Linked DNA regions of Sus scrofa. Each later gene encodes a partner of the first gene's protein in a complex. Links are inferred from orthologs where the notes say so. Each region holds a gene or a part of one and is shown on either strand. Other genes may lie near its edges. The genes, in order: SYMPK and SSU72.

The links.
Region 2: the proteins of SYMPK (region 1) and SSU72 are in contact, whole or in part, in a crystal structure (PDB 4H3K), measured with the Homo sapiens proteins. The link is inferred for Sus scrofa from reciprocal best matches to the Homo sapiens genes SYMPK and SSU72. Residues at the interface, in NP_004810.2 of Homo sapiens: Val123, Lys127, Leu131, Gln135, Asp175, Asn176, Asp177, Gly178, Thr181, His182, Lys185, Glu188, Pro204, Arg205, Arg206, Gln207, Ser250, Ile251, Thr254, Thr255, Asn262, Ala290, Ser292, Gln293, Ser295, Ser296, Lys299, Asn300, Leu303, His304; in NP_054907.1 of Homo sapiens: Glu113, Tyr116, Asp117, Val120, Asn124, Glu127, Gln128, Glu129, Thr130, Cys131, Gln132, Pro133, His135, Asp167, Glu169, Asn170, Asp173, Gln177, Glu180, Thr186, Phe187, Leu188, His189, Thr190, Val191, Phe193.

What each region holds. Positions count from the first base shown.
Region 1 is NC_010448.4:52,149,312-52,153,117, forward strand, and holds part of SYMPK (symplekin), read right to left. Parts: coding exon 3,802-3,806; intron 2,807-3,801; coding exon 2,725-2,806; intron 2,554-2,724; coding exon 2,440-2,553; intron 1,462-2,439; coding exon 1,314-1,461; intron 362-1,313; coding exon 201-361; intron 1-200. UniProt on the Homo sapiens protein: Scaffold protein that functions as a component of a multimolecular complex involved in histone mRNA 3'-end processing. Specific component of the tight junction (TJ) plaque, but might not be an exclusively junctional component. May have a house-keeping rule.
Region 2 is NC_010448.4:63,754,450-63,758,760, reverse strand, and holds the start of SSU72 (RNA polymerase II subunit A C-terminal domain phosphatase SSU72), read left to right. Parts: upstream 1-1,300; 5' UTR 1,301-3,836; coding exon 3,837-4,015; intron 4,016-4,311. UniProt on the Homo sapiens protein: Protein phosphatase that catalyzes the dephosphorylation of the C-terminal domain of RNA polymerase II. Plays a role in RNA processing and termination. Plays a role in pre-mRNA polyadenylation via its interaction with SYMPK.

The DNA.
Region 1 (3,806 bases):
TTTTCACTCAGGGCAACCCTGCTGTCTTCTCCTGAGCAGACGGATGTGTGGGCCACCCGCAAGCCACAGAGCTGCTGGGCCTGGGGTGACAACCCTTAGAGCTTAGCAGACACCGAGGAGGAGCTATCGGGGGAAGGGCTGATTTGGGGGTTTAGCCCTGCCCATGCGTGGGCAGAGCCTGGTGGGCTCAGGGGCCTCACCGGCTGTTCGATGACCCTTAGCACAGTCCTCTTGATGTCGGCGATGGCCTCCGTGTATACGGCTGCCAGCTCGTGGATGAGCTTGTGGTTCTGAGGCAGGAGAGCCAGGTAGAGGTACAAACACTGCTTTACTGTCTCCTCGGTCCAGGGCGCTGCCACCTCTGGTAAGGCAGGAGGTGAAGATCAGGTGAGGCCTGCTCCCCTCCCACCCTCAGGGTCTGGTCCTTCTTGGGAGGCAGGCACAGGAGGGAGCTGAGCTGGGAAGCAAAAGTCCCCAGGGCAGGAAGCCTGTCCTCTAGGAGGTGGGGGTGGAAGCGGGACGGCTCCCCTTCCGCAAGTCTCGGCACTCAGTGCCCACCTTGTCTCCTCTGACCACCAGTCCACGAGGCAGCCAGAGAGATCTTCCTAAGTGCAGTTCTGACCCTGTCCCTCTCCTGTTCAGTGCTCCCACAACTGTCCTGTGCTCTCAGGACAAGCCCCCAGATCCTCGCCCTGCTCTACCTGACAGGTCCTGGTCAGGGCAGCCCTGCCTCTGGGGCCCTGCACTCTGGTCACACCCCACTTCAGACAGACCCCAAGGCCTCCACTTTGGAGCCTCTACACGTGCTGCTGTCACCAAGAACACTGCCGCCCAACTCCTCTTGTGGTGCCTCCTCATCCTCTGGGTCTCACACCCTCTGGGTTCCCAACACTCAGGCTGCTCCAGGGCTCCTGTGCTCCTAGAAGGCCCCGTGCTTCCTGCCACAGCCTCCAATTTATGGTCCATCCTCTTGGGGCCAGAGTCTCCCCATCTGGCACACGGAGGACCCAGAGCTCTGCTGAGTGAGTGGGCCTGATATGATCCTGCCTGGAGCTGCATCACTGGCAAGCTGTCCTTGTCCTCGGCTTTCACCCAGCTGTCCCCACACCTCCAGGACCCTCTCCCTGACCCATCAGGCTGGGCCAGGCACCCCCTCTGGGCTCCCACAGACCCCTGATTTTGCCACCCAAAGCCTGCTTGTTTCGGTTACTGCTGTCTAGCTGTCTTCTCTAGCAGGCTCTGACCCCAGGGCCCAGTCCAGAGCCTGGGACGCAGCAGGTGCTCAACACACCCCTGAAGAACCTGTACCAAACCTGTGTCTTTGTCGGCTCCAAACAGCACAGATGGTGGGTTGGGGTGGACCAAGAGCTGCAGGTAGTTGAGGGCAAACTTCTCCACATACTCTCGCAGCTGCTCCTTCTCGTACATGCGCTTGATGAACAGCAAGGCTTGGGAACGTACCTGAGGAGAGAGGAGGGCAAGGTGGTGGAGGGGGCAACAGCTGTCCTGAGCTTGGCAGCCAGTGTGAAAACAAGCCCAAGTCTGAGGAAGGCCTGGCCTAGCTGAGTTACCTGTGCCCAAGACTGGCTTGGGAGGGAGGTTTCCTGGCCCAGCTGAGGGCCCTGCATCACCTCGCCATCTACTTGCCTGGCTCCATTCTTATCACGTCTGGCCCTGCTTGCCCTGCTCCAACCAGGAGCTTTCCTCAGTTCCTCACAAGTGGCGGCCTTCTCCCTGGCACTGAGACTTGGCACACAAAGTTCCCACTGCCTGGACTGCCTGTCGCTGGCTATATCCTGCTGGGAGCCAAGAGGACAGAGCCTGGTCTGGGGCATTGCTTTGTTCCCAGCAGCACCCCAGGGCCGAGCCAGAGTGTGCAGTCAGGGTCTGCTGAATGAACGGACACAAGACACCAGAAAGGAGCGGGTTGAAGGCAGGAGCAGGGATGGTCGCGGGCCCTCTCCATCACACCGAGGCACATCTGACCAGGGCGCAGCCATCTACTCCTACTGCAGGTCTTGGCTCACACGTCCCGACTCCGGGAGGCTTCCTTAAACCACCCCCTCCCCAACCCCCTCGCCAGGGCTTTGCAGTCACACACTACTCCACTCCTGGCACTGAACACATGGTGTCTGCTGGTAGGTCACACTGGCTCCTCCCAGGTCCCAGCACAGTGGGGCCTTAAGAGGGGCGTACAACACAGGCAGAATAAGAGCGAGAACGGGCCTGCCCTGCTTGGGGTGTGAGTATATATATGTGTGTACCTTCTAAGCAGCTTCACGCCATCATAAATGGAAAAACCACCACCACCACCAAAAGACTGTTGTAAGATGCACATTAAGCCCAGAAAGTTTCAGGGGAGTGTGGAAAAGGCTGGGCTGGTTACTCGGGACAGAGGAAGGACTGAGTGGAGCACAGCACAGGGCGGTGGGGGATCACCTTGTCCTTCTCATGCGAGCTGAGGTCTAGCAGGACGTGCAGGTACTGGAACTGACGGGATGGGCGCTTGAAGATCAGGTCTCGAAGAGTGGACATGCCCAGGTAGGTGCGGCTCTGCGGCAGGAAGGAGGGGAACCAGAGCTCAAGGCCCCTGCAGGGCACCACTGGGAGGTCTCCCCTGCCTCAGCCAGACCTGGGACTGGACCAGAGCATCCGGTCCCTCCCAGAACCCCCTGCCTGTACCATGATGCTCGGAGTGGCGGGAGATCTGCCGCCTGTCCTCACCTCATCCTCACAGTACTTGCGAATCACCTCCAGGGCACTCTCCGTGATGAGTGGCGCCTCCAGCACGACCTTGGTGAAGATCCTGCCAGAGAGGGGGGGTAGGGAACGGCTGGCTTCCCTATCCTGCTGATCATAGCTCAGAACTGAAAGTGCCCCCCTCCAACAGCTTGCTCAACCCCCTGGATACAGAGCTCTGGAAGCAACAGAGCAGGGTTCAGACACTGCCAGGTGGGTGTCCTGGGCAGAGACGACCTCTTGGAAACTCAGTTGCTCCCATTTTTCAAATGGAGATTCCTAGCTTGTTTAATATAGCAATGGGAGGGGATGACGGGAGGCTGTTCTTTGAGATGTGGTGACCAGAAAAGGCTGCTTGGAGATAACAGTTGTCAATGCTGGCAAAGGAGAAAGAGCCAGCCACGGAAGAAGTAGGGGGAGAGCATTCCAGGTAGAGCAGAGTGAGTCTATCAGAGGAACAGGAGACTGAAGGCCAGCGAGCTAAAGTTCGGGGGCAGTGAAATGCAGGGAGGCAAAAAAGAGGCTGAAGAGGTTGGCGTGGACTGGATTATACACGGTCTCATAGGACACAGTAAGGAGGTGCATTTTAGCTGAGGACAATGGAAGGTTTTTAGTGGGGAAATAACAAGACACGGTTTACATTTATAAAGTGTCACCTGAGCTGCTATGTGGAGAATGAATAAGCTGGAAATCCAGGACACGGAGGAAGCTACAGAACCGATGTGGGCAAGAGGTGGGGATGGTGAGAAGTCAACCTCGGGAACCAGCCTCCAAAGCAGACGCTGTTACTCGTCATGTATTATATGAGAAAATGGAGGCTCAGAGGGTAAGTGACACAGGTCAGAGAGCAAGCAGCAGAGCCAGAGAACAAGCCCGGGGCACAGGGCTCCAAGCCTGCACGGAAGCAACCTTGTCGTGCAGACAGTGGGGAGAAGAGGGAGAAAAGGGATGCACACGCGGAGGAACAATCTGGGTGCTGATGAAGAGGGAGGGGGTCAGAAACCAGAACGGAAAGGCAGGGCACAGGACGGGGGACGGGAGTGCACAGGGCCGCCCCCTCACCCATC
Region 2 (4,311 bases), about 12 Mb from region 1:
CATAGCTAATGTCTAATAGCTCCTATTTGATAGGACAGTTTTGAGAAATATTTCTTTTTTTCTAGGCTTATTTAAATATTTTATCATAGTCAGATACATAAGTTTCTCTTATTTTAGAATATCTTCATGGAGTTCCCATCTTGGCTCAGCGGAAATGAATCTGACTCGTATCCATGAGGATACAGGTTTGATTCCTGGCCTTGCTTAATGGATTAAGGATCCAGTGTTGCCATGAGCTGTGGTGTAGGTCGTAGACTCGGCTTGGATCCTGCATTGCTGTGGCTGTGGTGTAGGCCAGCAGCTACAGCTCTGATTCGACCCCTAGCCTGGGAACCTCCGTATGCCACAGGTGCAGCCCTAAAAAGACAAACAAAAATATTTTTTAAAATTCTTCAGGAGAAACATTTCAAATTTAAAGGCCACATCTGACTAAAACAATTAGAGTTACCGACTTGCCATGACGGGAACTTCTACCTCTGAATACTTAATGACGCTTTTTACAAATCAGACAAGTTGTTTTTCTCGATGCAAATAAGTGAGGTTTTCTCAATGCTGACATGTGAGCTCTACTTAAATCGTCCTCCACACCGGGCGTTCGGTGGTCCAGGAGCAGGTCGTGTATAGAACGTCTGTGCGGCAACTAAAGCAGTTTCTGTGGTGGCCTTTTCACACTTGCCCAAATTCAGACACTTCTCTTCCATTTTTCATTTTCCTTGCCCACTTATCTTGCCCCACCCCCACCGCCCAGCACCCTGCTTATTTCTTGAGTCCCCCATGGCATTCACTAAATGTTACCTAGGACCGATGAATTACCAATCTTTTCAGATCCTTCCCAGGATACCACGGTTAAGACCCATTTTTAATTTTCTTTTTTCAGGGTCGCACTGTGGCATATGGAACCTCCCAGGCCAGGGTTTGAATCGGAACTACAGCTGCCGGCAATGCCAGATCCTTAACCTACCAGTTGGGGCCTGGGATGAAACTGGAAACCTCAGGGATACTAGTCAGGTTTGTACTGCTGAGCCACACCAGGAACGTCAAAATGCTATTTTTTAATACCTTTTTACTCGTTTCTGCCCCTAAAAGTTGGTGGGTCTATGGTCTATGGGTTTTATTCTGCAAATCACTGATACTCATGTAAACCAATAATTATATTTTTATTATGTTATCAAGTACACATCATGTGAAAGAAAGATCAACTGTTTAATTATGTTCTCAGATCTGTTACCGCATCTCTGTGTGTGATGCAATGGGACGCTTGCCTGTTTTTTTTTGTTTTTTTTTTTTTTTTTTTTGTCTTTTGTCTTTTTAGGGCTGCACCCTCGGCATATGGTTCCCAGGCTAGGGGTCTAATCGGAACTGTTGCTGCTGGCCTACGCCACAGCCACAGCAACACCAGATCTGAGCGGCGTCTGTGACCTACATCACAGCTCAGGGCAACGCCAGATCCTCAACCCACTGAGCGAGGCCAGCGATTGAACCTGCAACCTCGTGGTTCCTAGTCGGATTCATTTCCGCTGCGCCACAACAGGAACTCCCCATACTTACGTGTTTTAAAAAAGCCAAGAGCAAATGTGTGTTTTTGTTAGTGGTGGTGGTGAGCATGTCTACAGATTTGGCAGTAATGCATAAATTTGTCAAACAGCCCTTCCAAAATTATACTTGTGAAATACACACACACACACACACACACACACAAATTGATCTTAAAAAATTTAAAACTAAAAAGACTAATCACATCAAGTGCCATCAAGGATGTAGAGAAAGTGGGACACTGCACACGGGAATGTGAGACAGTACATTTGCTTTGAAAACAATTTGGCAGTTTCTTAGAAAGTTAAAAGTACACCTAAACATATGCTCTAATCACCCTACTCCTGGGCATTAAGCCAAGTGGGTCCTTAACCCACTTAGGAACTCCTGAGACGTTTCTCAATGCACTGGACATAAGGCAACAAAACCATCTCGCCTGGGAATGGGGCCTGAGCCCTTCTGAGCTCAGAGTCTGTGCATGCAGTGGGGCAGAGCAGCACAGAGCGCCAGAGAGAAGGTCCCTAGCCAGGACAGAAAGGCCAGTGCGGGCAGAGGAGGACATGGGTGAGCTTTCTTGAAGTGGGCGGCATCTATCTGATCTCAGTACTTGGACTGAGTTGAGGTCTGGGGGGCACACACAGAGGTAAGGCACCGACAAGCAATTTTCAGTTGGCGGACGTTAAGTTCTACACAGGAGGTAGGGAGAGGTGAGGTAGGACAGCTACTATATTGGTATTGGAATGGTCAGTACTGATCAGTACTGGTGTGGTGAGGCCATAATGTCTTTGAATTCAGGTTATGCCTTCTGAGCACACTGGGGAGGCCATGGAGGCGTCTTGTTTTCCAAATGTAAACACCTCTATTGTTTGTTGTTGTTGTTAGAGAAAATACACGTCCATCATAACATACAAAGTCAAGGAATTCAAAAAGGTATAAAGAGCATTCTTTATAAGTATAAAGCACCCTTAACCCTAGGCCATTAGGGTTGCGGTCCCACTGCCACATTCCAGGGTAGGTCCCTCTGGACGTTGCGTTCTGTGTGTGTTTAAATACAGAGAGTGGGAGGGGAGGACGCCCTCATTGGTCCTCACTCATCCCTCACACCCCCAAGTCCTTCCAAGTAAACACTTCCTTGCTATAATCCTGCACCGGCCTCCCTCACACCAGGCCCAAGGGTCCTGACTTAAACAGTCTGAGTGCCTGGTCCTCAACCTTTCTCTCCATGAAAACATCCGGAGCAATGTTAGGACAACCGACTATCAGTGAAGATGGTCCTTCACTGCCCCGGCTTCAGAGCTTTCCCCTCTCCAACAGCGAGACGGTCTGCTACCATCTGCTACCATCGGTGCCTACGGTTACGCCTAGCCTCCAGGCATTCAGAAGGCAGCTCCCTCTACACCCAGTTTCAAGCATCCCGCTCTACCACCCTCTGGCCCCAGCGACATTTCTTCCACTCCACTGGGATCTCCAGTTCAGCGCACACGGTACCTTTCCACTGCCACCGTCCCTTCGTGTCCTCACTTCTCAGCCAGCCTGGATCCACGTCGGAGCACCGCCATTCCCTCGCCCCCTCCTTTTGCTGCACATACCAGAAGACCAACTCATTGGCCACTCCAAGTGGCTGGAGAACAAAACCGGGTTGCCTAGTTTCTCGGTCAAATTACAACCCCGTATCTCAAACCCGCAGGGCCTCCAAACAAGCCCCAGGATTTCAATCGACTTGCTCTCCTAACCGGGGAGGTCTTCTCAAAGCACCTAACCACCTCTCCAAACACTTCCACGACTTCATTTAAAGGTCAGACTTCGTAGAGTCTTCGGCAGAGCAGAAAAGGGAGACACGGCGGCTCGGGTGGCAGGAGCGAGAACAAGGGGCGTCGCCAGGGGCAGGCGGAAGCGCGCAAAGCCATCCTGGAAGACGCTGCCCGGAACCTGCCACTTCCAACGGCCGTCCCAGCAGGCCAGCGCCTTTTGCGTCATTCCCGGCGACGGCGCTCGTGACATCATCTGAGCTGGGGCGGTGCCTTCGCGTCATTCCCGGCGACTGCGGCGGCTCGTGACGACGTCGGGTCGCCGGTGCGCGGGGCTGGGCCGGACGGCGACTCCTGTGCGGGGCGCTGGCCTCTGTGGTTCATGCACAGAGAAGAGGCGAGCTCGCCAGCCGGCCGGGCGCCCGCGGGGCGGGGCCTCCCTCCGTCCGCTGCCCAGCGCTCCCGGCCGGCGTGGGGAGGCCGCCGGGACGCCTTGCGTACGTCCGTGCCGCACATCCCGACGCGCTACGTCGCCGGCGTCGCCTTTTGCGCGTCATGACTTCCGGGCACCGAGGTCGCCATCTTCCTCGCGCGGAAGCGGCGCCGCTGGGTGGGAGCTCGGAGGCGGGAGTCGCGGACGGTGCGGCTACCGCAATGCCGTCGTCGCCGTTGCGGGTGGCGGTGGTGTGCTCGAGCAACCAGAACCGGAGCATGGAGGCGCACAACATCCTCAGGTAGTTAGGGCCTCCGCCCTGGCCCAGCGCGCCCTACGAACACCGGCCCTACTGGCCGTTCCTCCGGCCGCATCTCTCCGCGACCCATGCTGGGCAGTCCCGTTTCCCGGCCCATGCTGTGTGGCGGCGGCCGCTTTCCTGGCCCGCGCTTCCCCTGCCCTTGCTGGGCAGCCCCGTTCCCAGACGGGCGGTGCGCCCCGGCCCCCAAAGGATGCCCGAGATGCCGCGCAGCGCCCGGGTTCGTGGGCTTAGGGGCCGAGCGCAGCGAGGAATCGACAAGGCTCGGTCTACCTCGC